4 linked regions of the Elephas maximus indicus genome follow. The protein of the gene in region 2 interacts with the protein of the main gene of each other region in a pairwise test. Links are inferred from orthologs where the notes say so. Each region holds a gene or a part of one and is shown on either strand. Other genes may lie near its edges. The genes, in order: AEN, HOMEZ, ELOA and MAD2L1BP.

Region 1 (6,916 bases), on a different chromosome or scaffold from region 2:
TATGGCCCTTTCTGTCTCTTGGGTTCATAATTCTCTTGTGACCTTGGTGTTCTTCATTCTCCTTTGATCCAGGTGGGTTGAGACCAATTGATGCATCTTAGATGGCTGCTTGTTAGCATTTAAGATCCCAGATGCCACACTTCAAAGTGGGATGCAGAATGTTTTCTTAATAGAATTTATTTTGCCAGTTGACTTAGATGTCCCCTGAAGCCATAGTCCCCAAACCCCCGCCCTTGCTCCGCTGACCTTCGAAGCATTCAGTTCATCCCGGAAACTTCTTTGCTTTTGGTCCAGTCCAGTTGAGCTGACCTTCCATGTATTGAGTATTGTCCTTCCCTTCACCTAAAGTAGTTCTTGCCTACTATCTAATCAGAAAATAACCCTCCCACCCTCCCTCCCGCCCTTCTCTCGTAACCACAAAATAATGTGTTCTTCTCAGTTTAAACTATTTCTCAAGATCTTATAATAGTGGTCTTATACAATATTTGTCCTTTTGCATCTGACTAATTTCACTCAGCATAATGCCTTCCAGGTTCCTCCATGTTATGAAATGTTTCACAGATTCCTCACTGTTCTTTATCGATGCATAGTATTCCATTGTGTGAATATACCATAATTTATTTATCCATTCATCCGTTGATGGACACCTTGGTTGTTTCCACTCTTTACTATTGTAAACAGTGCTGCAATAAACATGGGTGTGCATATATCTGTTCTTGTAAAGGCTCTTATTTCTCTAGGATATATTCCGAGGAGTGGGATTTCTGGGTTGTATGGTAGTTCTATTTCTAACTTTTTAAGGACACGCCAGATAGATTTCCAAAGTGGCTGTACCATTTTACATTCCCACCAGCAGTGTATAAGAGTTCCAATCTCTCTGCAGCCTCTCCAATATTTATTATTTTGTGTTTTTTGGATTAATGCCAGCCTTGTTGGAGTAAGATGGAATCTCATTGTAGTTTTAATTTGGATTTCTCTAATGCCTAATGATCAAGACCCAAAAGCAAACCCAGTGCCGTCGAGTTGATTCCGAGAGCTCTCTTTAATTTGTTAAGTGTCAATTTACTCAACTGTAAAATGGAAATAATAATAGTACATAACACACTGTATTCTTGTGCAGATTAAATGAGCATATTGCCTGGCTTATTGTTAGTGCTCACACACTAAATTCATACTGCTTATCATTGCTCTTTTTATACATGTTGCATCAAATTATCTGTTCACCTGGCTGTTACCTTGCCAGATTGTGTGCTTCTTCTGTGTATTTCAGCACTGGGCCCAAAGTGGTGTTATTGTTGGCTGGCCTCCAGACTGACTCACGGCAACCCTGTGCACAAGGGTCGGAAAACATGCACTATCCCAATGGTCTGTTGCAGATTGGACGGCTGTGATCCATAGGGTTTTCACTGGATGATTTTCAGAACTAAGTCTCCAGATCTTTCTTCCTAGTGTGTCACATGAGGTGTCCTGGCTGGAAATCAAAGCCAGGTCTCCCGCATGGAAGGTGAGAAATCTACCACTGAACCACCAATACCTCCGAGGCCCAAAGCAGAAACTTAACAACTTACTGCAGGAGGATAAATGAAAGAATAGTGCCGAAGGAGCAAACCTGACTTCTAAAAACCTTTACCTAGTATCTACCATGAACATGCTCGGCATTTCTCAAGCTGAAAGAAGAAGAAACATTCAAGTCTCGAGTTGCAATATTGAAGGCTTCTATGGGCAAAATACTGAATGATGCAGGAAGCATCGAAAGAAGATGGAAGGAATACACAGTCACTGTAAAAAAAAGAATTGGTTGACATTCAACCATTTCAGGAGGTAGCATATGATCAAGAACCAATAGTACTAAAGGAAGAAGTCCAAACTGCGTTGAAGGCATTGGTGAAAAACAAGGCTCCAGGAATTGACGGAATACCAATCAAGATGTTTCAACAAATGGATGCAACACCGGAAGCGCTCATTGTCTACGCCAAGAAATTTGGAAGACAGCTACCTGGCCAATCAACTGGAAGAGATCCATATTTGTGCCCATTCCAAAGAAAGGTGATCCACCAGAATACAGAAATTATCAAACAATATCATTAATATCACACGGAAGTAAAATTTTGCTGAAGATAATTCAAAAACTGTTGCAGCAGTACATCAACAGGGAACTGCCAGAAATTCAAGCTGGATTCAGAAGAGGAAGTAGAAGGAGGGATATCGCTGTAGATGTCAAATGAACCTTGGCTGAAAGCAGAGAATAACAGAAAGATGTTTACCTGTGTTTTATTGACTATGCAAACACATTCAACTGTGTGGATGATAACAAATTATGGATAACATCATGAAGAACGGGAATTCCGGGACACTTAATTGTGTTCGTGAGGAACCTCTACATAGACCAAGAGGCAGTCGTTCAAACAGAACAAGGGGATACTGTGGTTTAAAATCAAGAAAGGTGTGTGTCAGGGCTGTATCCTTTCATTATACTTATTCAATCCGCATGCTGAGCAAATAATCTGAGAAGCTGGCCTGTATAAAGAAAGACGTGGCATTAGAATGGGAGGAAGACTCATTAACAACCTGCATATGCAGATGACACAACCTTGCTTGCTGAAAGTGAAGAGGACTTTAAGCATTTCCTGATGAAGATCAAAGACAACAGCCTTTGGAATGGATTACACCTCAACGTAAAGAAAAAAATCCTCACAACTGGACCAATAAGCAACATCATGATAAATGGAGAAAAGACTGAGGTTGTCAAGGATTTCATTTTACTTGGATCCACAATCTATGCCCATGGAAGCAGCAGTCGAGAAATCAAAAGATGCATTGCACTGGGCAAATCTGCTGCAAAACACCTCTCTAAAGTGCTGAGAAGCAAAGATGTCACCTTGAGAACTAAAGTGTGCCTGACCCAAGTCATGGAATTTTTAGTTGCCTCATATGTGCACAAAAACTGGGCAAATAAATAAGAAAGAGTGAAGGAGAATTGATGCCTTTGAATTATATTGTTGGTGAAGAATATCGAATATACCATGGACTGGCAGAAGAACGAACAAATCTGTCTTGGAAGAAATACAGCCAGAATGCTCCTTAGAAGTGAGAGTGGCTAGACTCATCTCACATTCTTTGGACATGTTATCAGGAGGGACCAGTCCCTGGAGGACATCATGCTTGGTAAAGTTGAGGGTCAATGAAAAAGAGGAAGACCCTCAATGAGATGGATTGACAGAGCGGCTACAACAATGGGCTCAAGCACAGCCACTATTGTGAAGACGGCCCAGAACTGGGTAGTATTTTGAGCCCCGTTTTTTTGGCCCGGCCCAGCGCAGCCCAGCCCAGCCCAGCCCAGCTTGAACCAATGCGAAGGCACCTACCAACATAAGCATTATTTCACGAAATCCTCACATCACCTGGAGTGGTCCGTGTATTACTCCTAATCTGACTCTGTAAGTCACTGGTGGGAGGGGGAATAGGATCCCTGTTGGTGCAAAGGTTAAGGGCTCAGCTGCTAACAGAAAGGTGGATGGTTCAAACCCACCACCTGCTCCATAGGAGAAATGTGCAGTTTGCTTCCGTAAAGATTTACAGCCGACGAAACCGTATAGGGCAGTTCTACTCTGTCCTATGAGAAGTCGGAATCGACTAGAACGTCTGGTTTTCAGAGTTTACAGGCGTCCAGCTCCCGACCCTGGGGACGTAGGTGGGAGCCGGCAGGTTGGAGGAGCCCAAGCTTCTCTTCCCGCGGTTAAAAATCTCCCGCCAGCGCGGCCGGCGTAGGGGCAAAGCCACACCCCTTTCGGGAATCTCCTCCCTTTCTGCAGTCTTACGCCCACTCCAGAGAGGCAAGCTCTTGACCAATCAGAAGAGGCTTTAGGCGGGCGCTGCTGTTCAGCGAGCCAATCGGCAGGCAGTCGGAGCCGGGCTTGCCCGGGCATGTGGCAGCTGCCGGTCCGGGGTCCACGTGCGGGCAGGAAGAGACGTAGGGGACGTTAGGTGAGTTGTAGGGGTTACGCACTCGGAGCCGGCACCGGGTGGGCGGCGCGGAGGGTGCCGGGCCGCGAGGCTCTGTGCGGCCGTGTCCGTCCTCGGCCTGCGGCGGGCGGTGCCCAAGCTCAGTCAGCCCAGTTCTCTGGGCCGGCGAGGTTGCAGGCCGGGGCCCCGGCCCTGCTTCTGCCCGGCCCCTGGCCTGCTCCTGTGGTCCCGGGGCTGAGGGGGCCAGCGCTGGGCAACGGGACGCGCGGCCTGGCGGGGCTGGCGTGGCCGCCGCGGCCCGTGGGCAACACGCGAGTCCTTCCCTGGGTGAGGTCAGGCCTGCCTCGCGTCGCTCCTCGGAGAAGGCCGGCCAGAGGAGATCCTGCGGAGCTCTGCTCGCACTTTTTTAATCCCTCGAACTTTTTAATGTCACGGGGACCTTCATCGAGCCAGATGGTCTCAAATTTGGGTGCTTTTCAGAATCATAGGTTCCGGGGTCGCGCCAGCTCTAGTTTAAAATACAGATTCTCAGGCCCATTTCCAAGAATGGCTGTTCAGAATGGCCTGGAAACAAGCGTCCTAAATGTTTCCGGTAATTAACTGCGTTGGGGGAGCCCTTAACCTAGTTCAAAGGCCTCCGATTATGGGGAAGGGACGTCCCTTGCCCCGGTTCGTTAGGCTCTTGAGTGCCAGAGCAGGGTCTAGAGCTGCCCTTCTGATCAGCCAGCAGGTTGGTAACCCCGAAGCCACTGGCGGTTTTTGTATTCTGGTTCCTTTGGGGCCCTTGCTCTAGGGACTCTGCTGCTGGGGCCTTTCTCTTGGGCGAGGGACCCTGCCCAAAGACCCAGAGGGCTCGGTTCGGCTGGAGAAAGAGATTTGTTTTTGTCCTTGTTGAAACAGTTTTGATTTTTGAGAGAAACTTCTTTACAGCTTCGCTTGAGAACTTTTGGTTGTGACATTTGGCAGCAAGGTCTGGGCATATAGAAAAGGTTGCCGTCATCCCGTGAAATATGAGACCATAGAAGCCTTTTTTCAGGGAATCCTAATTTCTGGCTTTGACACCCTGCCAGCATAGTCTGGAGGGCCACCAACTGGAGTCCCAGACTCAGCTCCAGACCTACAGAGCCCTCTCCCAGAGAACGGAAAGGGAAATATTATCTCCCTAACACAAATCAATTATTAGAAGGGTCAGTTTTGTTCTTCCCATTGCTGGGCTAAGGCAAGTGGAGATTCTGTATTTGTCAGCTCTAAGATGTGACTCACCAATGCGAAGAAGTGGGTTACGTATTAAGAGAACTTTTAAAAGGGAGAAAGAAGCCTTCTTGGGGAAGGGACAAGCAAGCAGGGTGGATGAGTCAGGATGGGTCATCATATCTTGCCCTGGCCTCGGGTGTCTGAGCCCTGCTCATGCAAACAGTGACATCATCCAAACCCCATCCGGTCACCAAATCCTGGCATCTTACTTCATATCCCACCCCCTTCCCATTTCTCTTAACCGTTTCAAGACCCAGTTATTTTCTGCTTTGGATTTTTTATTGGTAGGTAGTATGGATTTTCCTGCCCCCCTCCAACAATCCTACCCTCTGAGTCCCGAGGGACATAGTTGCCCCACTAATATTACCCCAGATGCTCCCTGGAGTTAAAGGGACATATGATGATGTCCCAAAGAAAAATTTTCAAAATTTCTCTTTCTCCAACCAGACATACACACACCTCATACAACACCTTGTAGAAATAGTAATTTGTGGTACGTGCCTGTTTTTTCAGTTTCAAACAGTCATCAGGGCCCCTGCCTTGCAGCAGCATGCACTATTGGCGGGAAAGCAGCTTCCCAATGAACCTGAGGTGGGAAAAGTGGGTGGGCAACTGGATATTCCAACTGTCATGAAATGGTTTTAATTCTTAGTGTTCTTGTCTTGTCCTGACCTCCCTGTAAAGGCAGTTATGATCCTGTTGCCCTCCAGTCTGTTCTCCGGCTTTCTACCAACTCTTAATTCAGCCCTTAATTTTCTGCTTCTGTTTCTGTTTCTGTGGATAGACTGAACTCCTAAGAGTCCAGGATCCATCATAGTAATTCTGTGCCCAGCACCTGGCACAGAGTCAAGGAGACCCCAGAGAGCCTTGCTGTGGCATTGGAGAAAGGGGTGTTCCAGAAGGGCTGCCTGGGGGATGCAGAGCAGCAGCCATGTCTGAAGGGGAAGCTGGGTAGGAAGTGAGGGAGGAGGGAGGTCTGTGGGTGGGAGGGTAGTGAGTCCGGGGGGCAGCACTGGCCTGGGGAGAGCTGGTTACCAACCGTTTGCTAGAGTGGGAGCCTCTCAGGGAAAAGAGTGATGGTTATTGTGCCCCACTATAGATAATAATATGCAGATCCCAGCACATATATTGTGTCCTTTCATCTCTGGACAGCAAGGGAGGTGGTGGTGTTAGGTGCTGTCGAGTCGGTTCTGACTCATAGCGACCCTATGCACAGCAGAACGAAACACTGCCTGGTCCAGCGCCATTCTTAAAATTGTTGCTATGCTTAAGCTCGTTGTTGCAGCCACTGTGTCAGTCCACCTCATTGAGGGTCTTCTTTTCCGCTGACCCTGTACTTTGCCAAGCACGATGTCCTTCTCCAGGTCCTGGTCCCTTCTGACAACATGTCCAAAGTATGGAAGACGCAGTCTCGCCATCCTTGCTTCTAAGGAGCATTCTGGTTGTACCTCTTGCAAGACAGATTTGTTTGTTCTTTTGGCAGTCCATGTATATTCAGTATTCTTCGCCAACACCACAATTGAAAGGCATCCATTCTTCTTCGGTCTTCCTTATTCATCGTCCAGCTTTCACATGCATATGATGCGATTGAAAATACCATGGCATTTTTTTTGGGTCAGGTGCACTTTGTCTTCAAGGTGACATCCCTGCCTTTCAAAACTTTAAAGAGGTCTTTTGCAGCACATTTACCCAATGCAAC
Region 2 (7,739 bases):
GGACCACCGCCAAATCCAGGCTGAAGAGTACTTCATAATTGCAACACTTGACATCTACTTACCCTCATATAAACTGTTCCATAAGGACACAATAACACGTTAGATATGAGGAAAGGTAGTGTAAGGAATGAAGCTGTCCAGTGTGACGATGAAAACTGCCAGACAGGAACACAAGGCAGGCACAGCTACAAGCCTACAAGGAGGCATTTTGCTTTCATTCATGTTATTTATTTGATACCCTTTAGATTCTCATGGCGTCAGCTTGATATTTCAGTGTAGCATGCAGTAATGCAAATAATATATTTAGTGTATGGTATACAGCCGCAGTTTTCACTTACAGAAAGCACAAGTTGTGGAAGATTTCCTGAAACAGAAGGATGGCTTAAATCAAGGGGCAGCTATATAGCTGGTACCTCCCTAGAAGAATCTGGCTTTGAAATAGGAGGAAACTACAATCAGAGTGGCTCATGAGAACTGTCACAAGTGGGGCAGGTACCCTACAGTAATCAAAACCACAACGAACATACCACAGTGTCTTATGTTCTCATGCCTCCATTCTGGATTAGGTAGAAAAAGAAAAGACTCAAAGCTGAAGAAGGACTTCTAGGGCAGAGGTGATTGGGGCGGGGGGGCGGTCCATTCTGAGTAATTACTAAATCTGTATCCTTAATAAGGATATAATCTTTAACAAAGGATACTATGCCAAATATGTTCTACTATTACTTAAAGTCACTAATAAGAAATATGGAATCAGTATAACACCCAGAAGGAATTCCCCTCAGGCCTTCCACACCCCTGGGTGTATGGCAGAAAAGGGGCTACCTTAAGCTTGCAGTCTAGGCATTCTTCACACAGTCTGAGGAAAAAAAGGACTTTAGAACTTTAGGCTCAAGCCTAGGCTTATGGTTAAAGTAGGAGACGGTCAAAGTGGGGCAATAGACATGATCCTTCTAAGCTCCCCAAACATTTATTCCAGAAGAATTGACATGCTGCCTGAAATGTGTTTGGGTGATACAGTTTTAAGTATCTGAAAGAACTAGTGGTATTCAATTTATATGGTTCTTAACTTTTGGATCATGAATCCCTCTGAGAGAGAAAAGTTATGGACTCTTAGAAAGTTATGACTACCCTTTCACAATAAACATTCACACTTATACATTATAAATAATCTCAGGGGGTTGGTCATTGTCTGCCAGGAGCCCAAGTTAAAAACCTCTGCTTTATGGCTTCCAATTTTAAGGCAATAATGGTAATCACTTAAAGATGAACAAACATGTTGATGTGAATGAATGGAAAAAGTGGATGGAGGACTCGAGAATTTGAATAAGCCTAGAAGGGATTAGTGGTATTAGTTGGAGAGAGTGGAAGGCAGGGGTATTCAACAGGGTCAGAAGCCTGGTGACCCACTGGATTACATGAGTGATACCCATGGTGCACTGAATACTAGAGGCTAGTAGACTATACTGCAACAAAATCTGCTTCAGCCTGCTTCCTCAAGCTGCCCTGTGTGCTTAGGCTAGTTGTGATTCCACACCTGCTTATGCCAGAAGCTTTTCCTGTATTTCTATAATGTAATTAAATACCACATAAACCTGTGAAAAAAATTACTGCATTAAAAACCGTTCCTGTGAAAACTAAGTCAAATGCTGACTTAGACATGACACAACGGGGAATACATTTTTATAATTGTTGAATTGGGAGTGAGCAAGACAATTGTAAAAGATTGGGAAGGGGGAATCTTAAAACCAAAACTGGAATCACAGATGATATATTATGGGTATAGTACATAGAGGCTTTCATCTGTAAGACTGCAAATTAGAATTACCTGGGAAACTGAAGGAAAAAAAAAAAAAGCCAGGCCCCGTTTTCCCTTTTTGTGTTAGTTTGGACTGGGGTCCTGGCATTGGTAGATTTTAAAAGTTCTCAGGGTTTCAGAATCACTCTTGTAGTTTATACTAGAAAGACAACTGGGAACACCAATCAGCCGACTTAGACTTACACAAAGAAACCATCTTGGCACTATACCAAAATATTGGTGAAATGAATGTACTTTTAATTATGTTTAAGATATATAGGCGTCGTTTTTTTAAATTCCCAACTCTGTTTTGATTACTGCCATCTACCAATCCTCATCATATAACATAAAAGGGCTTCCAGTGTATGGCGAGAAGTAGGTTCACAGGATAAAAGATCTGATTTGGGCCCACATTACCAAGTAGGTCTCATCTTGAGTCTTCTTTCAGTTTAGAAGTCTCAGATGAGGACGCAACACCAGGAACCTCTGAGGACTCGAGTTCTCACTTTCCTGGCTGGTTTTCTGAGTATGGCTGGTTAGGGTGAGAAGGGGCAGTTTCTTGTTAACCCTTCATTCCCAAAGGTCACTGCTCCCCAGAAGGCCAGGTACGTGTGTTGAGGTCGCCAGGAAGTAGCCATGGGGGGGGGGGTAGGCCTGGGAAGGAAACGTTTCTCCTGTCCTCCATTTCACAAGCAGTCTAGGAGGCTCTGAACTGGGTCAGAGAACAAAAAGTTGCTACACTTGGGGCGATGAGCCCCGAAGAGCAGGCGAATCTCAATCTTCCCCTCTTCAAGGGCGTACCAACCCAGCCTCCCCCTCCTTACACACCCACTCACCCTACCCCAGATACAACAGGGAGCCGCAAAGTCCACAAGAGAAAGGAGGGAGCGCCGGCGGCTTCGAACCTAGAATTCTCCTCCTTCCAGCGCGGGGATGGGGCTCCGGAGGTCGGGGATCGTAGAGGGTCTGGGAGGGGAAGTCGAAGGAGCTGGGGATCACTCACCGCAGTCCGGCCCCGGCGGCGGCTCCCAGCCTCGCACCATGGGCCGGGGGGAAAGGGGAAGAGGGGGCAGGGGGCCTCCGGAATGAGAGTAAGGTTGCTGCCCCGCGCGGCCTCCTCCGAGCCCACCCGTGCGGAGGGCCCGGACCGGGACTGACCCCCCCCCGCCCCCGAGAGCGCGCCCGTCTAGCCCAGCCCTGCTCGAGCGAGTTGGAGGCGGGGCGGATGGGTGGGGCGCGCGCCTAGGGGCGGTGCCAGGGTGGCCCGAGTTCTGATTGGTGGACGCAGGCCGGCGGTCACCGGCGGAACGTACTGGGTCGGCTATTGGCTGTACGGGCCTTGACTGAAGTCAGCTATTGGCTCCGTGAGCCACCGGCGGCGTGGGCTATTGGGTACGTGGGCAGGGAAGCTGCCCCGCGGGGCCACCCTCATCCTATCGGTGCCGAACCGTGGAAGTACACCGGCCAATGTCCCTCCCGGAATTCCCTGGGGAGGGGCTCGAGCACTTTGCCGAAGTGTCCAGGTCGCCAACAGCTACCCCCGGCTGTTTCCTCCTGAGAAAAGCACTCTAGGAAGCCCCTTTTATCATCCATTCCCTAACCCTAGAGTCCCTGGGTTGTGCAACCGGTTAGCGCACTGAGCAGCTAACCGGAAGGTCGAAGATTTACATTTACCCAGAGTCGCCTGGGAATAAAGACCTGGGAATCTACTTCTTGATAAAAAGCTCTTGAAAACCCTGAGGAGCACAGTTCTCTGACACACATGGGGTTGCCTTGAGTCAGAGCAGACTCCAGGGCTGATAGTCTGGTCCCTAGCCCTATGTATGTGCAGTGACTTCCCCAGCCGAGGCCCAGTCGTCACCAGCAGTCAGCTCCAGCAAAGCAACCTAAAGCAAAAAGGAACTTGTTCTGGAGATGAATCTGATGTTTCGCCGCTCAGAAAGTTGAGGATCCTATGATCCCGGTGTCTCCTGCTGCTTCCCCCAGACAAGTTGGTACCAGACAGGTTCCCCGAGACAAAGTGCCTGAGGGGTTACCAGTTGGGACCTATCAGACCCTCCGACCCACTTCCCTGCCTCTGTAAAAACCGGGACCTCTGCCTCATATTTGGAGACCTTGGTTTTCATTGTCAAGAAAGGGCTGACAACGAAATGGATTTTCCCCCAGGCAGTATGCCACACGCTAGGAAGTTCTGGACCAAAAGTTTGTATATTTAGAATTGTTTATCTTCTGACTAAAATTTGGGAACAATGTATTTCCGATGTGCCTCTGTTCTTATGCTGGTCTTTGAAATAGTCTCTTCTTGCTTATTTAGGTCACTTAATAGCTTATGTAGCTACAATAGTTTAGAAAACAATTCCACGCTTTACGCTGTATTCTGCAGGCCTCACCAGCCACCCCCACCCCCACCCAAGAAAAAAAACAACCACGTAACTCCTACTTCTCATTCTTCATTGGTCCACTTTTAAGGCTGGAGCTCTTTGAGGGTTGCCTGACATCATAAACATGTCTCTCTTTCAGTGCTGACCCTATTTTCTGTTACTGGCCTTGTATTTGCCTCACCTCTCCCTCTCCCTCCTTACGCTTAATAACAATATCCAGTCTTACATACAAGTTGGATGTCCTTCCAAGTATTATCTGGCAAAACATCTTAGGGGTAAACAACAGAAGCATGTATACTCAGCTTTAGGGTTAGAAACTTTTGATCCCTCAAGGTAAGAGCCAGGTGTATACAGACCTTCTAAATCATGGCTATTACAGTCCTCCAATGGTTTTTATTTAATGAAGGAAGGGAAAAATGAAACATTTGAGGCAGCAGCAGCCCTCAGTTTCCAGTGGAGAGGTCATTCTGTTCTCATCCAAACAATTAGTAAAACTGGATTGACTGGGAAGAAGTCATGCTTGTTTGGCTGGAAAGCTGACAGGAACTGGCTGTGGGAATGAAGCGCCTGACCCTGGAGGGTTAAGTGAGTCACTCTGGGCATCACTGACTATGGGCTTGGAATTATGAAAGGTGAATAACTCAGCTCCCTTTTTTGTCTGAGAGTTAGGAGTGGGGGCAGGAACAGAATGGAAGACAGATTTAGTAGAGAGAATGCAAGGAAGGGAGAACAAACTCCCTTGCCCCAATTCTGGAGTGCAAATTGAAGCCTCCCTCTTCTACATGTGTTTCACCCTGAAGTTTTAGAAGATGGAGTGATTTAGGGTAGGAGAATAGAGAAGAGGAAGAGGTCCAAGCTGACATTATCAGAGAAGGGAAGGTCCCATCATTAGCAAGACAATTACCCTCCCAGCTCTTCCAGGGACTGCTGTAGTGCTAAGAATAGGGACTCATCTTGTTATCCTCAATATTAGAGATGTTAATCCTCCATCTTTGGTGAAAACTCTCTCCCCCTGTGGGGTAAAGAGTGTAACTTTACTCAAAGTAATTTGGTCTTTGCCCTTGTTTCTTGAGAGATATCGCTAAACTCTTGGAGTTTCCTGACTAACTGAGGTGCCTTTATTATCTGGGGAGCTTTGGTGGCATAGTGGTTAAGAGATCGGCTGGTAACCAAAAGATCCGCAGTCTGAATCCACCAGCTGCTCCCTGGAAACCCTATGGGGCAGTTCTACTCTGTTCTATAGGGTTGCTATGAGTCAGAATCCACTTGATGGGTTTGGGTTTTTTAGTTTTATTATCTGGGGCCTTGGTGGCACAGTGTTTAAAAGCTTGGTAGCTAACCTAAAGGTCGGCAGTTCAAACCCACCAGCCGCTCCTTGGAAACCCTGTGGGACAGTCTATGAGTCAGAACTGACACCATGGCAATGGGTTTGGTTTTTGGTTTATTGTGCAAATGAGTGGGGGACTGGCCAGGCCACGAAGGCCACCAGGTGGCCTTGTAGCAGGTGACCTCTCAGACAGGGAAGGGGTCATGATTCAATCAATAATGCGTATACAATGAGGCTCCAATAAAGAATATGGACATGGAAGTTCCATGGGCTTCCTGGTTAGTGAAAGACATCAGTGCATGGGGGACTGTAGCACACCCTTTGGGACATGGAAGCTCTGTTTTGGGAGCCCTCCTAGACTTTGCCTTTTGTGTCTTTTCATTTGTGTCCATTTTTTCTATAATAAAGCTATAATCATAACAGTTTCCATGAGTTCTGTGAATCATTCCAGCGAATTATCAAACCTAAGGGAGTAGTGGGGGTCAGCAAGTCAGAAGTGAAGCGGGGAGGGTTATGGGAACAATTAAGCTTATGGCTGGTGTCCTGGAGGGATAGTAGCAAAACCCCGAACTTGTAGCCAGGAGACTAGAAGTGAGAGCCTGGGTGAGACCCCCAAGCTTGCAGCTGGCATCCTCAAATGGTAGTGGAAAAACTCTGAATTTGTAGCCTACAAAGGGCAAAGTCTGGGAGGGTTCCCAAGACAGAGTTTCCATGTCCCAAAGGGCATGCTTACATTCCATATAGAACTACGGGTGTCTTGTGGAATCCCAAACTTGCTGCTGGCATCTGGTCTTAGGCCCACCTGGCAGTCTGGAGGTCTGTGGGCTTTAACTTTTGAGATCTGACCTAACTCAGGGTGCTTAAGGTCAGAGGAAGAAGTGCTGCATGGGGAGGGTGTCAGAATTGAACAGAGAAGTGAAAAGTGGGGATGTGTTATATCCTCAAAGTTGCTGTCAGGAAAAAGTGGCTATTTGGTATTATATAGTTGATTATTTATCCACTCACCTCCCTTTCTTGGCTCAGATATTAGCAAGACTGACCAGAGGCACATTTCCCTGTAGCTTAAGAAGCTGGAGTTTCAGGGCCCTCCCTTGCACAGACCTCTTTCCAAGGCACTGGAGGGGACCCAGCAATATGCTCACATGGTAATAGGTTTTTGTAAAATTTGGAAAAAAAAATTTTTTTTAGCTGCAATTGGTTAAGATAGGTGTCTCTTTCCTTTCTGGCTTTCCTTCCATCACACTTCCTCTTTTGTCAGGTGGCAGTGGAGAGGGGCCACAGGCATTTTAGGATTGGCTAAGGAATTTGAATTGAGGATATATTTAGTTTGGGTTTAGTAGGTATATTTATGTGGTTTGCAATTACTTCTGTGAGTAAATTGTCTTTGTGTAGGTATAGCTCCCAGGAATACTCTTAATGTCGTCAATTCAAAGAGTATAATACCATACAGTGAAACCTGTGAGAGCCGGAACCTGAAGGACTGCTTTGTATCTCCAGGTCTTGCAAGTTTTCTGCCTTTGACAGTGCATTCTTACTATTTTTCTATTACTCTCTATTTCGTGGAAAATATTTGAGTTTTCCTTCTCTGACAGGTTTCCACCTTACACAGGTTCCAGCTATCACAGGTTTTATTGTATAACATTAGAAAAAAAAAACCTGTTGCTGTGGAGTCAATTCCAACTCATTGTGACCCTATAGGACAGAGTAGAACTGCCCCATAGGGTTTCCTAGGAGTGGCTTGGTGGATTTGAACTGCTGATCTTTTTGGTTAGCAGCTGTAGCAGTTAACCACTACACCACTAGGGTCCCTGTATAACATTAGTCATTGCAAAGAAAATTTGAAATGCTATGACCACATATATGGAAGAAACTTGTCAGAGGTTTTCCAAAATGTGACAAAAGTTCTAAAAATATATAACTTCACCACTAACAAGATGTGAAGGTGAAATTTTTCTAACTTAGCAATTAAAAAAAAAAAAAGTAATGATCAGCCATGCAAGAGGAAAGACTGAATTACCTTCCTATACTTTCTATAGAAAACATTATATATTATCATCATGAGAAAAGCCTATTGAAAAGCATGCAGTTAAAAAAAAAAAAGTATTATGGTTTTGCCAGGCAGGTTATTTTAAAAATGTGTTATTTTTCTTGATATTGCGATATTGTCAACTTCTTAAAAATTATAATTTGGTGTTATCTTTTCTCATTCTAAAAAAGAAAAAATCCACTTTTGTGC
Region 3 (7,357 bases), on a different chromosome or scaffold from region 2:
TAAAACACCAGAGAATTTGACAAAATCAGCCACTAAAAAACACCGGCAGCAACAAAATAACAGTGCGTGCCTGTAGCGTGTAGATGAAGCCACATGAAGTGTCACTGTAATTGGGTGATAATGACAGCTCTGACCAGAGCGCATTAGAAGGCTCAAAAAGTACATCAGCATAGAGCTTTAGCCTAGTAGGTATACTGATATATGTCAGCTGGGCTTACAAAAAATGTTTTTCTTGTTATAACTACAGGAATTTTTTTATTAAAAAGTAATAAACTTCTGCTGAAACACTGCATAAAAATTTTATAGACAGTTATTTCGGTGTCACCCCCTCTGACAGTGTCACCCAGTGTGGTCTACAACCCTGGTACTCCCCTACTGACACCACTGCCTAGCTCTCCATCTGCTACCAAATAGTGTTCTTTGTAGTTTTAGCATTCAAGAAACGCCATACCGAAAACCAAAACCCATTGCCATTGAGTTGATTTTAACTCAGAGTGACCCTGTAAGACAGAGTAGAACTGCCCTATAGAGTTTCCAAGAAGTGGCTGGTTGATTCAAACTGCCAACTTTTTGGTTACCAGCCAAACGCTTAACCACTGAACCAGCGGGACCCCCAAATGTACCACAGGACAGGTAAATTTTTTAAAGTGTTAATGCCTTACTATACCAACCACGAAAATAGTCTTCAATTAAATAGGTGGAACAGAAACCAAGAGGCCTTGGTCAGCCAAATACCTTCTCCCCAAGTAAGCCTAGATCATAAATGGGCTTAAAGGTGAAAACTGAGTTACAGTTAAACACCAGTGTTTAATGCCAGAAAATCCATGAACGTAGGTGTAGAATCAACGCTTTGGCTAATAATGGTTTGAAATCAAAATCTGGTTCCAAATTCAATACTGCTATATAATCATCTTGCAATTTCAAGAACAACCTGTGCGAGCTTGTAGCATTAACAGAAGGCTGAAGGGAAGGCAGCCAGTGTGCCAGCTTGCAATTTTCCCTCTGCAGTTAAACCATTTCTGAATGCCAGCTACTATGTCCTCTGTAAAAATGATCTCTCCCAACATTCTGCCATCTTCATAATGCTCACTTCACAGTACAAAGCCAGAAGTTCAGGGTGATTTTCTACCCATGAAGACAAAGTCCAAATGCTCACAAAAATCACGTACAGTTCAAGAAGGATGGGAAACCAACAAGCGTTTTGCAAATTTGATATTTCATACACACCAACTACTAGAAAGCCTTCTTCAAAACTTAAATACTAGTGGAAACATGACTATAGATGCTACATAAGCCACTTTTTATCTGATGGAAATAAAGACCAAATGGGGGATGGTGACATAATATTGCATTGTGGTTTTAAAATCAGTCATAAACCTTACAGTGTTTAAGAAAACAAACTAGTACTCAGAAATAAGGGCCATTTATTAGATGACCACAAAGGGTAACTGTAAAAGGCAACTTGCAAATACGCCTGGCCACTAGGCACTAAAGCTGCAACAGAAAATATCACACAACACAATTAAAAGCATTTAAGTTTTCACAGGTTTAAAACTAAAATGGCTTCCTGAAAAAGTGGAAGGAGAGTTAAAAAGTGACCTGATGATGAGAAGCTGTAGGCAGCCTTTGGAAATGGAGAAAACCTCTCCTATGAGAGACTAAGAACAAGGTAAAGAGAAAAACGCCTTTTTTAAAGAGTGGCAAGTAATACCCACTGAGCACTTACTCTGAGCCTGGCACGTAATAGCTTTAGTTTAGTCCTAGGAAGCAGCGATGATGCAGGTGATAAAACAGGCTCAGCAAAGGGAACTTCCCCCCAACGTCTACGCTGCTGAACGGATTAGAACCCAAACTCCACGACTTTATCTCAACTGCCTCTCTCCACTGCTTCCTCTTTGAACAGGATTCTCGGGCTCAGAGGTTCAACTCTAGGTATGGGTACAGCCCAGTTAGAATGCTCACAAACACCTCAATGGAAAAATCCTAACACCCACCAGACGCTCCCAGAGACGAGAAGCAGGGTAAGAGGAAGGAGAGACAAACGAGCGCTACTAAATAGGTAAAAATAAAAATGCCCATCACTCTGGCCTTTTTTATCAAGGCCAGAAGGAAATCTAGCTGCAACTTCTAACGTTTTTTGTTTTTTTCTTCGCCTTCCCAATTTCAACCTAAGTTTCTATGAGTGGAGTTTTTATTTATTTTGTTGTGAAAGGGACTCACTGAGAAAGCGAAAAGGTCAGTGCTCTAACATAAAGCCGGCGAGCGATTAAAACCTTGCTTACGGACGCAGGACCCCACATACCCCGAGTCTAGACTCTCGTGCACAGGCTGTACCGTCTCCTCTGGGCACCTAAAGACACTAAGAAACCGAGGGCGTTTCGCAGGGAGAGCAAGGGAGCTAAGCACGCAGCGCAGGAACCGGGAGCAGGCAGGAGTTAACTCCGGAGCGAGCGCCCTTCCCGGCCCCCGGCGAGCCACCCCGACAGGAAACAGCTGGCTCGGGGCGCCGAGGGAGCGGCTCCGGGAGCCCGGCGGGGGCACAGCCCTGGGCACGCGGTGCCGGGCAGGAGCGCGCCCCTCGCCGTCCGGGGACCAGGAGGGAGGGACGGGGCCCGGGGCCGCCGAGCTGCGAGCCTGACACCGGGAGCCCCCGCGTGGCAAGCGGCCGATCGGCCGCGAACTTCCCGACCCGGGTCCGCGAGCCCCGCGGGCCTGGCACGGGGTCCGAGTCCCCGGCCCCGGGGGGCTGGATCGACCCTCGGAGACCCCGGCTGCGCCCGCGACCGTTACGGGGCCCGCGCCGGCCAACGCCCGCCCCGCTCCGCGCAGCCCGCCGACTCACCTTCTTGGGGTCCGGGTTCGCGGCCAGGCGCGCCTGCAGCTTCTCCACAACTTGGAGCGCCGACTCCGCCGCCATCGCTGTCACTGGCGCGGCCTCCTCGCCGGAACTGGGTCCGCGTCGCGTCCTCGGGCCGCGGCTCCGCCCTCCGTGCATCCCCGGCGGAGACGGAAGCGCGACTGGCCCCTTCCGGGGCTCGGCCGGGGGGCGGGGGGCGCGGGGCCGGCCGCAGGCTCCGCCCCCAGGTCCCGGGGGGCCGGGCGCCCGGGAGCGCGCGCCGCGAGCCGGGGGCCGCAGGGTCTGGGCACGCGGGTCGCGCGAGGGCCGCCGCTGGGCAGCCGCGCGTCTGGGCCTCGCTGCGCGGAGCCATAGGCCGGGATGACATCCGCTCGTGCAGTCCCAGACGGACTGGGGGTCCAGCGCCAAACGCTGGCCTTATAAATCCCACACCGCCACCCCCGCTGGTGGTCCTGAAGTCAATCGGCGGGAGTCAACGACGGCGACCACCCTGGGTTGAGCACCATGCGCCAGTAGTTGGACTGCCTTTAATTTCAGCTTCCACAAAACCTGATGAACCGAGTTACGTTATCCCCATTTTACAGATGGAACTGGGGATCAGAGAGAACAAATTAACTTGCATGTGGTAATGCAACGGGGAAGAGTTGAAGCCAAAAATTGAATCTAAGTTTAGGTCCGGAGCCGTGGTGGCGCAGTGGGTAAACGCTTGGCTGCTAACCAAAAGGTGGGCGGTTCAGGCGGTTGGAACGCGCTAGGCGTTCTGCGGGAGAAAGATGTGGCAGTCTGCTTCCTTAAAGATTTACAGCCTCGGGAACCCTATGGGGCAATTCTTTTCTGTCCTATAGGGTCACTGTGAGTCAGAGTGGACTAGACAGGAACGGGTTTGGTTTGGTTCAAGTCTAGATCCAGAGTGAGCCATACCTCTGAATAGGTTTCAGAATTGAAGCTGAGAAAGGAATTTGTCCTAAGTCAAACAGCTTAGCTCCATAAGGGCAATAATAGTCCATGTGTCTCATTTTACTATTATTACTACAAAAAAGAGGAACCAGTCTAAACTTAAAATGTCAGCATTAATTACAGTGAAACCCGTGAAAGCCAGAACTCGCAGAGGATGCCTTGTTTTTTTCTGGGTCTCGCAAATTTCCCACTTCTGTCAGGGTGCAGTCTTACCACTTTTCTATTACTCATTTTAGTGGAAAATATTTGAGTTTTCCTTCTTTGACAGGTTTCCAGCTTACACAGAATCCGGCTTTCCCAGGTTTTACTATGTATCTCTTTTAATTAGCCAAATCAGATTAGATCCTAGCCAGATCTCCAGAGGTGCAGTGCCGCCGGTTTGACCTCTAGCCTTAATCAGGAAATCTCAGCAGTCTCTTCTCCAGGTCCTAACTCTGGAAAATAAACTCAATATAAGTTGTTTCTTCAAACGAGCATTCATTCACTCACTCACTGTGCTGGGAAGCCCTCCCAACAGTCCCCCAGCCCTTGGCTTGGTGCCCCTCCCCAAGTTCCCTTGCAACTGGCCCTTTTCAGGTTGTAGAAAAGTTGTCAACTTATCCATCTTGCCACTGGCAGTTATTATTAAGTGCAGTGACTCACTGGTCCGATTTTGAATCTCTGCTGCCCAGGACCATGCAGCAATATAACCAGCACTGGATAAACAGTCCATACTAGATTAACAACTGTCCACTTGATGCCCCTAAGGCTCTGCATGGGCACCAAACTGGGCATTAGAAGACTTGGATCCTAGTCCCAGCCCTACCTTTCCCTGGGAGTCTCCCTCCTCTAGAAGCAAATGCCTTTCAATGATCTCTTCAGTTCCTTCCATTTTGAAAAGGTGGTGAGCAGGCAAATGCTGGAGTAATGGAATATGGGCTGGCTCTTGAAGAACTGCTGACTAACTGCCCTGGCACGTACTTGGGACACACGGAACGTTTTGTGCATGTTGCCCAGGGAGATCTCAACAACTAGGATGAAAAGAAACATGCGTGTGCACGCAGTTCCTTCCCTGGCCCACACACTGCTGGGGATCCTGGGGAGGATGCATCACCCGTCTCCCAGCTGTGTCAGCCTGAGCTGAGGTTACCTGGAAAGTACTCTTTATGCTCGAATATATGGATACTTCTCTGATGAGTGAAAAGGACTTGAAGCACTTATTGATGAAGACCAAAGAATATGGCCTTCGGTATGGATTACACCTCAACATAAAGAAAAGAAAAATCCTCACAACTGGACCAATAAGCAACATCATGATAAACGGAGAAAAGATTGAAGTTATCAAGGATTTCATTTTACTTGGATCCACAATCAACACGCACGGAAGCAGCAGTCAAGAAATCATATGATGGATTGCATTAGGCAAATCTGCTGCACAAGACCTCTTAAGTGTTAAAAAGCAAAGATGTCAGTTTGAGGACTAAGGTGCCTCTGACTTAAGCCATGGTATTTTCAATCGCCTCATATGCATGCAAAAGCTGGACAATGAATAAGGAAGACTGAAGAAGAATTGATGCCTTTGAATTATGGTGTTAGCGAAGAATACTGAATATACCATGGACCGCCAGAAGAATGAGCAAATCTGTCTTGAAAGAAGCACAGCCAGAATGCTCCTTAGAAGCAAGAAAGATGAGACGAAGACCCACGTACTTTGGACATGTTACTAGGAGGGACTTGGAGCCCTGGTGGCGCAGTGGTTAAGAGCTTGGCTGCTAACCAAAAAGGTCAGCAGTTTGAATCCACCAGCTGCTCCTTGGAAACCCTATGGGGGCAGTTCTACTCTGTCCTATAAGATCGCTATAAGTCAGAATCAACTCGACGGAAATGGGTTTTGTTTTTGGGGGGAGGGTATCAGGAGGGACCAGTCCCTGGAGAAGAACATCATGTTTGGTAAAGTAGAGGGTCAGCAAAAAAGAGGAAGATCCTCAATGAGTTGGATTGACACAGTGGCTGCAACAATGGGCTCTCACATAGCAATGATTGTGAAGATGGCATGGGACCAGGCAGCGTTTCGTTCTGTTGTACATAGGGTCCATATGAGTTGGAACAAGCTCAATGGCACCTAACACCGACAACCACTGATGAGCAGTTAATTATGTATGTGCCACTCTCCAATCACGTTAGTTTACACAGCCGCTTCGAGGGAGGAAGATGTGACAGTCTTATCCAACACCGGAATAAGTTCCTAAGGCAAAGGCTGTTTTGGGGCATCTTGGATCGGCAACATTAAGCACAGAGGTGACATTCAATGAAGGTTGGTTGAAAACAGAATTAATTATTATTAAATTGAAGGACAACCCAGAGTATCATTTGAAACCCTGAGGGGAACTCCCTAGTTCTCTTACCGGCATCACAGACCCAGGCCCCTGGGAGGTGATTAAAGGACCCGTTCTACTCTGCACAGAAGGCCTGTTTACGGTGACTTGGAGGGGGGTAATGGGTAGGAAGGCTCTCCTCTTCTGCTTTTTATATTTTTTGAGTATTTGCAGCAAATATGATCTACTTTAACAAGAACAAAGATATTTTAATTTTGGAAAAGAACAATCCCAGGCTGGCTATATAAGGGTGATTATATAGACAGATCAATGAAATTAAAAAAAAAATTAAAAAGCAAACAAATAAAAAACACAGTCAACCACCACGCCCTCAGTAGCGAAATGATCCCTTGCCTGTCATGGAATGGTCAAGTGAGATTCTGCGGGCTGGACAGAGTGCTGAGTGAGAGGTAACGGTGGAGGGCTTCCCACGTGGGACGGATCATGACCTGGGCTCTGCCACTCCTCTACCTTACCAAGGAGGCAGCATCTGAGGCTGCGTGGATGGTGGGTGTAAAGAACAGGCTGGGGCTCAGTGATAACCTAAGCTCCAATTCCCAACTCTACTATTGCTAACTGGGACTCCTGGTCAAGTTACTAAAACTCACTGAAATTGTTTCCTTCTACCTTACTGCTTTCTTGTGAGGCTTGTTAATACATTGTGTTACGTAACTAGCATATTAAAAAAACAAACAAACAAATCCGTTGATGTTGCTTCCGACTCAGAGCGACTCTATAGGACAGAGTAGAGCTGCCCCATAGGGTTTCCAAGGAAACCCTTTTGGCTAGCAGCTGAGCTCTTAACCACTGCACCACCAGGGCTCCAGCTAGCATATAGGTTTTTTTTTTTTTTAAAGCATCAATTATTAGGGAAAACTGAGTGCCTTGATAAAGAGAATATCGTCTTCTGTGTAAAGCAGGATATAAAATCCTCCATCTGGGCAGTTTTGTTCTGCACAGCTGTAGCCACTGTTCTCTTCTCCCATGGGCTCCTTTTTCTGAATTGACTACATTCATCTTTGTTTCACATCCTTCAAACATGTTCACTTGGTTATTTACTTAGGGATGGCATCTTGCTGGGCTTCACAGACTGGCTTCACCCTCTCAAATATAGTAATGCAAGTGGAGAGCGCCAGCTCCAGCGAGTGATGTCTGAGATTCAGAATCCACACCTTTCATAGGATGCCTT
Region 4 (7,356 bases), on a different chromosome or scaffold from region 2:
CTGGCTCCACCTCTGCCTCAGTTTCTTCCCTGATGGTTGGCGTGCCATCAGGGTGAGTCGGGGCGAACGCCAGGGTGGGGGCTGATGATGGTTAGCCTAATTACAGCTGTTATTGTTGCGATGATTATTGCCACCTTTACACAGTAGTCACTGCTTTATTACTAGAGCCGGCACAGTCCGGGGGCTGGTTTCAGCAGCCCAAGGCACCGCGGTGGCCCCAACACGAAGCCCTAACCCATAAACCGCAGTGATGCCTGAGGGCTACAAGGATACCCTTAGCGAATACCCTCCTCCCCTTTGTTTTGAAGCCGAACCAATCGGGGAGAACCGACGTCGATTTTAAAAGAGCCGGGGCTGTAGGCGGGGCTTGGCCTTTACTTGGGGCGGGGCTGGGGTTCCAGTAACAGCAATTCGGTTGAGGAGGAGGAGGTGAGTGTAAATAGAAACTTGGCCAAAGGCCACCGCAGATTGGTGACTTTTGACTTTCTTGCAAAGCCATCTCTTCCTCTCCTATTCTTTAGGCCACTAGCAGTCGGCAAAGAGTAAACACATTCAATGACATAAACTAGTGCACAAGACATCATCAGAAAGGCACGGTTGAGAACCAGTTAGTTTTGCTGGACTGGGAGTCAGGACGTCAGGGTTCAATTTCCAGCCCCATGGCTGTCTCACGACTCACTACTCACCGAATGTCCACCTCCCCTCTCTTCACAAACGGTGAGGTGCTCAAACACAGCCAAAAAATAAAACCCTTCCCTCCAGACCTCAGCTTTCCTTTGGAAAACTGGAAGCAGCAAATGTGGCTTACCTCTGGTGATCCCATCAAGGGTTCAGACTTGGTGGATTCCATGGCTCTGCCCAGGGCCACAAAGAGAGAGACAGGTTGTTGATCATGTAGTTGCAATCCACATGGCGTAAATACCCCAAAGAGTGAGATCGGCCCAAATCTGCAAAGTTGGCCCAAATCAGCCAGTTATGTGGGTCTTGAGCGGTTAAAAGCACATCAAGTGTCTTCTCTCTTCTCAACCCCGCGCAGCTGAAGGAAGAGCTATGCTGCAGAAGTCAACCCTATCCGGGGCACAGCCCCACCAGGGACACTGCTGCTTAGAGACTGAGACAGGAGAACTCAGAGATCTCAAGAAGGGTGGGGTTTGAAGCAAGAGCTAAGACCATTCCCTCAATAATTTCACCACCTCCATCTGGGCCCTCCTGATAACCACAGGCTGCTGCACTTGCCTGATAAAACACTTGTCCTCTCATCTACATGGATCTTTTAACCAACCCAAGACACACAGTTTAACCTCTTCTGTCTCAAATTCCTTGCCTTCTAAGTAGAGACCTTCTTTTAAGAGATCGGAGGGGATAGCCCATTCTGATATCCTATTCTTGAACAGTTGGACCTACCACAGACAGGAATGAAGGCTGGCAGAGGAGTAGGCTGAACAGGGATGTCTGTGCAGTAGATCGGGGTACTGGGAAATGGAGAATAGTATATACGTTTAGTTTTCTCAAGGTATTGTTTACGAGATACCTATGGCTGTGGGATATATATATATACATGGATATATATATATACACATGGATATTAGGAAACCCTGGTGGCGTACTGGTTAAGTGCTACGGCTGCTAACAAAGAGGTTGGCAGTTGAAATCTGCCAGGCGCTCCTTGGAAGCTCTATGGGGCAGTTCTACTCTGTCCTATAGGGTCGCTATGAGTCGGAATTGACTCGATGGCAGTGGGTTTGGTTTGGTTTTCGTGGATATTAACCTATTGCAAACATTTTTTCTGGCATATTTTAAAAAGCCCCTAAAAACCAAACCCATTGCTGTCGAGTCAGTTTCGACTCATAGCAACCCTATAGGACGGAGAAGTGCCCCATAGGGCTTCCAAAGCTATAATCTTTATGGAAGCAGATTGCCATATCTTTCTCCTGTGAACCACTGGTGGGTTTGAACCGCCAACTACTCAGTTAAAACCTGAGCGCTTTAACTATCTTGCCACCAGGGCTACTGTTTTAGTTATCTAGTGCTGCTATAACAGAAATACCACAAGTGGATGGCTTTAACACAGAGAAATTTATTCTCTCACAGTCTAGTAGGCTAGGCTTTCTCTCTGTCAGCTCTGGAGGAAGGTCCTTGCCAACAATCTTCCCCTGGTCAAAGAGGTTCTCAGCACAGGGACCCCTGGTCCAAAGGACGTGATATGCTCCTGGTGCAGTATGAGTTCCCCATATCTCTCTGCTCACTTCTCTTTTTTATATCTCAAAAGAGATTGGCTTAAAACACAACCTAATCTTATAGATTGAATCCTGCCTCATTAACATAACTGCTACTAGTCCCACCTCATTACCACCATAGAGATGGATTTTTTTTTTTTTTTAACACACAGGAAAATCACATCACATGACAAAATGGTGGACAATCACATGATATTGGGAATCATGGCCCAGCCAAGTTGACGGATATTTTGGGGGGGACACAATTCAATCCATGACAGCTCCTTTCTAGTACATAGTCAGCTAATTTTGTATACAATGCCTTTACATAAGTTTTAAACTCAGACCTAGCAATCTTTTTCTTTATGTTTTTTTGGTTAAGGGTCATGCCTAGGCCAACTCCTAGGTTACAAATTATTCTGCAATATTTTTTCTAGTAGTTTTGAGGGTTTGTTTTTATGTTCAGATCTTTAACCCATCTGGAATTTACCTTTATGTAGGGTCTGTGGTAGGAAATAACTTTATATTTGCTTTGAAAAGCAACCTTCATCATATATACTAAGATCCACATATACATAGGTCTGTTTCTGAACTCTTCTGTTTTGATTTGTTTGTTTATTCCTGAGTCAATACCACACTATTTTAATCACTATGTTTATGATGTTTTGACCTTTGGTCTCTGCTTCTCAAAACACTTTTCTTGGCTTCAGTGGTCCAACACTTACCTATTTTTTATACTTCTCTGACCACTTCTCAGTCTCCTCTATGGGTTCTTCTCTCTCTGCTCATCCCCTAAGTATTCGTGTCTTCAGAATCCTGTCTCTACACATCCTCATTCTACATACTCTCTCTGGGCGATCTTTATCTATGCCCATAGGGATAACTCAAAATATATCTCTCTATTCCAAATGGTTTTCCTGAATATCTCTATTGGCAATCCTATGGAGACATCAGACTCAACCATCATTATCAAAAAGCGAACTCATCTTTTCACCTTACCCATCCCCAAACAACCTGGTCCTCCTCTAGTGTTTCCTCTTTTATTGACTAGCACTATTGGCTACACAGTTGATGAAGCTGGAAACCTGCCTGAATTCTTGGTAGCCTCTATCTATCCCTCCTTCTCCTTCTCCTCAGATCAGCCACCAAGGCACGTTCACCGGACCTACTAAATATCTCTAGAGTTCACCCAATCCTTTCTACCCCACTGTGACTTCCCTAGTTCAGACCTCTTTTACCATGCCCTTGGATAACTGCAGTCACTATCTCCAACTGGTATCAATACCTCCTCTAGTATCCTCATCATCCAATGTAGCCAGTGTACAGATTAAATTTATAAAACGTAATCATGTCGTTCCCAAGTTAAAACCTTCAAACCTCCCCCTCCCCAACAAGATCAAGTTCAACTCTTTGAAGGGTTTATAAGGCGCTGCCAAGATCTGGCGCCTGTTTGTTCATTTCAGCTTTAACTCTCAATAATCTATGGTCTTTTCATTTCTTGAACAGAGGATGCTGCTCTGGTCTTTCAAGGTCTTCTGGAACACTAGGCCCTCCTCTTTACCTTGCTTATTTACCCATCCTACGGGTCACGCCTTCTATGGCATCATTTCCTCTGGGACCACCCTATCCCCACCCCATCTGGGTTAGGTGCCTCTGTTCTTTGCTTCCACAGCCCGTGTACACTTCAATGTATAATTCATCACACTGTATTTTATGGAAGGGCAGTGAACCCCTGAGAATAGGGCCAGTGTCTAGTGCATGCCTAATTCTCCAGCACCTAGGGGCTAAAAAAAAAAAAAAATTTTTTTTTTTTAGGGGCTGGCACAAAGTAGGTTCACAGTGAAAAGTGAATTCAGGCAGTGGATAGATGACTTCAGGGCGGGTGTCCTCTGGAAGGCTGACATCAGCGGCTCCCTGCGGGGAGGGGAGGCTAGACATGTCCGGTGTTAGGGAGGGAGTTGTTAGGTGCGGTCGAATAGGTTCCGACTCATAGCGACCCTATGTACAAAGGAACGAAACACACTGCCCGATCCTGAGCCATCCTCACAACACAGCGAGAAAAAGCAGGGTTCGATTCCCCAACTGGTCCAGCCTCCCTCACCCCCCTCTTCCGGCCTTTCCGATCCGGAAGTGGAGACGCGGGCTTCCCATGATGCCCCGCGGGGCACCCATTCAAACTGCAGGGCGAAGAGGAATGAGGTCGTGATGGCAGCCCTGGAGCCGGAAGTGCCGTTTGTAGACGCAGTCCCTGGTAAGGCGTGGGATTCGGAGCTCAAGGAGCCTTGGGGACCCTTTTCTTACAGACTACTGCTGCCTCCAGTCACTTAGCCCTTGGCCTTTTCTCCTGTCCATCGCCCTGTCACCCACTTCTTGGCGTTCCGCCCCGCTCTAGTTCTGCCCCAGTGACTCCCTTGCCTCCACGGCTCTGACTGCTGGCCGATCGCGCCCCCCCCCCGCCCCTTCCTCTCCGCGTCCTGGACCCCACTTGACTACGCTTTCTTTCGAGTTACTTCCCTAGATCTGTAGGCCCGCAGCTTTCTTGGCGGAGCTTCAGTCACTGCTTCCGAACATCCCACACCTCAGGCGAGAAGGATCAGGAATCTCTCCCCCCTACGGCCCACGCTGGCGGTAGCGGAGGGATTGCGCCTATGTCCGGGGGCCCTCTTCGCTGTAGTGGCTGATATAGTGGCCCTAAGAGAATGAAGAAGACTGACTTTGGCTTTTAAGCTTTTCATTTTTCTTTGTTCTTCTGCTCACGTACCAGATTTGGAGTGGTATGACAAGGCGGAGGAGACCCACGTCCCCCAGATAGAACTACTTGAGACTACCTCTGTTCAAGGACCTCTCAACCCTTCGGAACAATTTGGTCCTAGAGACTGCATGGTGCCAGTTGTGTTTCCGGGGCCTGTGAGCCAGGAAGGCTGCTGCCAGTTTACTTGTGAACTTCTAAAGCATATCATGTACCAACGCCAGCAACTCCCTCTGCCCTATGAACAGCTTAAGCACTTCTACCGAAAACCGCCTCAGGTAGGCACATGCTTTGGGGGGAATGTTGGTGGAAAAATGTTGTGGCTCTTAGATGGTAAACCAAACCCGTTGCCATCCAGTCTATTCTGACTCCTAGTGACCCTATAGGACAGAGTAGAACTGCCCCATAGAGCTCCCAAGGAGCAGCTGGTGGATTGGAACTGCCAGCCTTTTGGTTAGCAGCCTTATCTCTTAACCACTACTCCACCAGGGTTTCCTCTTAGATGGTAGACAGGCAAAAAAGGGGTCTAAGAATGCTTCAGGACTTGTCAGGCTGAGCGACTGTAAGGAAGGAGCCTGTTTCAGCCCCAGGGCTTCAGTCATCTTCTCCCCACTGTAGTCTTTGGTAGTCTAGCCGTCCCCACTTTTTCTCTTGTTGTCTTTCAGAAACTCATCATGTGTTAGTTACATATAGACTTGCTGAATTGACTTTTAGTGTCTTTTCTCTCCAAATTTTCCTCTCTTTCCTTTTTTGTTCTACTTCTGGGAGACTTCCTTGACTTTATGTTCTAACACCTCTGTTTTTTTGTTTTGTTTTGTTTTGTTTTTGGGCAGTTATATACTTAAGAGCACTTTCTTTATCTTTGTATGTTTCTTTTTAATAGTGTCCCGTTCTTGTTTCACTACTATATTAACTTCTCTTACCTGAAGGTAGTACTCTGTTCTTTCATGTGTCTTCATTCCTACCAAATTTCTTTTCCCATTTGTTTTGGTTTCTGACTTTCATGTTGGAAGCTTTTATTCTGTGCCTGCTGAATACTTAAGAGTAAGTCATTGAAAGCTGATCGAACACTCTTGGGTATGGTTGGGCCTTGTGAGCTGATGGACTTGTAAGGAGATTAGGTGGGAACTTAGTGGTCTCTTTGGGGGACTCCCGAAACATCAGTGGTGGAAGGTCTTCTCTCTGGGTCGGGGAGGAAACTGGCAGACAGTCTAAGTGTCTTTGCACAGCTTTTCACCCAGTTCCTTGTGTTTACTCTTGCCGTTTATGGTGCCTGATACCGCCGATTCCTGAGCCTTTCTGGGGTTCTGCAGAGTGAACTGGTTTGCTTCTAACGGGGTCCTCTTTGGCTGCACTTAGTATTCAGCTCTCTTGAACTCTGACTTATCCATCTGCTTTTACCTTCCAAAAATTTGTTGTGGCCTCTTGGCCACTGTTATGTATTCTCCAATTCTCTTTGCCCTTGGAAGTTTTTTTTCTTTCTTTCATTATCTTTCTTAATTTCTTTTCTCTCACTTTAGTAGTATTTCAGGTGGGAGCACAAATAAACATGTACTCAGTTTGCTATGTTTAAATGGAAGACCAACTCCAGAATCATTGTTATTGGACCCCATGATCCTCATTCCTGTTATCACTCCCTGTGCAGCAAAGATTTGCCACCTTCTGCCATGCCACCAAATCTCCTTGACTATTTTAGTTGCCTCTTTCTGGATGCCCTCCAGCTTCAGAGCACTGTCTTTGCTGTTCTAAGTGTGGGAGAATTGTGGTTTTGTGCAATGAATATGCTTTCCCTTTTGATACAATGCTCTCTGATAAAACCCAACGTTTTGGTAATGGCAGTTCACTGAGCTGGAAATCCAGTCCCATAAGTGTTCTTCCGAGGATATTAGCTGGGGCATTAACATCTCCCTATCTTGTCCTCTTGGAGCCGTGGTGGCAAAGCGGTTAAATGTTCGGCTGCTAGGCTAAAGGTCAGCAGTTCGAATCCACCAGCTGCTCCTTGGAAATCTTATGGGGCATTTCTACTCTGTTCTGTAGGGTCGCTATGAGTCAGAATCAATTCGATGGCAATTCTTTTTTTTGTTTATCTTGTCCTCTTTCCCACCGTACTTTGTCCTCACAGACAGAGGATGTGGTGAGGAAGAAACCTCGGACCGCCACTGAGACAAGCAGCAAGAAATGCCAGCAAGCCTTGGCAGAACTGGAGAGTGTCTTCAGCCACCTAGAGGTCCTCTTTGCCCGGACACTAGTACCACGAGTGCTGATCCTTCTTGGGGGCAGTGCTCTAAGTCCCAAGGAGTTCTATGAGCTCGACTTGTCCCGACTGGTCCCTGACAGCAGGGAGCAGAGCCTGAACACGGCGGCTTGTTTGCGCCGTCTCTTCCGAGCCAT

Evidence for each region.
Region 1: the proteins of HOMEZ (region 2) and AEN interact in binary tests that used the Homo sapiens proteins (3 or more experiments, as listed by UniProt). The two-hybrid records come from large-scale screens. The link is inferred for Elephas maximus indicus from reciprocal best matches to the Homo sapiens genes HOMEZ and AEN.
Region 3: the proteins of HOMEZ (region 2) and ELOA interact in binary tests that used the Homo sapiens proteins (3 or more experiments, as listed by UniProt). The two-hybrid records come from large-scale screens. The link is inferred for Elephas maximus indicus from reciprocal best matches to the Homo sapiens genes HOMEZ and ELOA.
Region 4: the proteins of HOMEZ (region 2) and MAD2L1BP interact in binary tests that used the Homo sapiens proteins (3 or more experiments, as listed by UniProt). The two-hybrid records come from large-scale screens. The link is inferred for Elephas maximus indicus from reciprocal best matches to the Homo sapiens genes HOMEZ and MAD2L1BP.

What each region holds. Positions count from the first base shown.
Region 1 is NC_064831.1:77,118,529-77,125,444, reverse strand, and holds the start of AEN (apoptosis-enhancing nuclease), read left to right. Parts: upstream 1-3,907; 5' UTR 3,908-3,984; intron 3,985-6,916. UniProt on the Homo sapiens protein: Exonuclease with activity against single- and double-stranded DNA and RNA. Mediates p53-induced apoptosis.
Region 2 is NC_064828.1:34,618,174-34,625,912, forward strand, and holds the start of HOMEZ (homeobox and leucine zipper protein Homez), read right to left. Parts: upstream 3,011-7,739; 5' UTR 2,839-3,010; coding exon 2,799-2,838; exon of another isoform or gene 2,701-2,798; intron 1-2,700. UniProt on the Homo sapiens protein: May function as a transcriptional regulator.
Region 3 is NC_064821.1:64,161,186-64,168,542, reverse strand, and holds the start of ELOA (elongin-A), read right to left. Parts: upstream 3,011-7,357; 5' UTR 2,996-3,010; coding exon 2,843-2,995; intron 1-2,842. UniProt on the Homo sapiens protein: SIII, also known as elongin, is a general transcription elongation factor that increases the RNA polymerase II transcription elongation past template-encoded arresting sites.
Region 4 is NC_064819.1:108,058,202-108,065,557, forward strand, and holds the start of MAD2L1BP (MAD2L1-binding protein), read left to right. Parts: upstream 1-4,350; 5' UTR 4,351-4,421; coding exon 4,422-4,467; intron 4,468-4,980; coding exon 4,981-5,243; intron 5,244-7,087; coding exon 7,088-7,356. UniProt on the Homo sapiens protein: May function to silence the spindle checkpoint and allow mitosis to proceed through anaphase by binding MAD2L1 after it has become dissociated from the MAD2L1-CDC20 complex.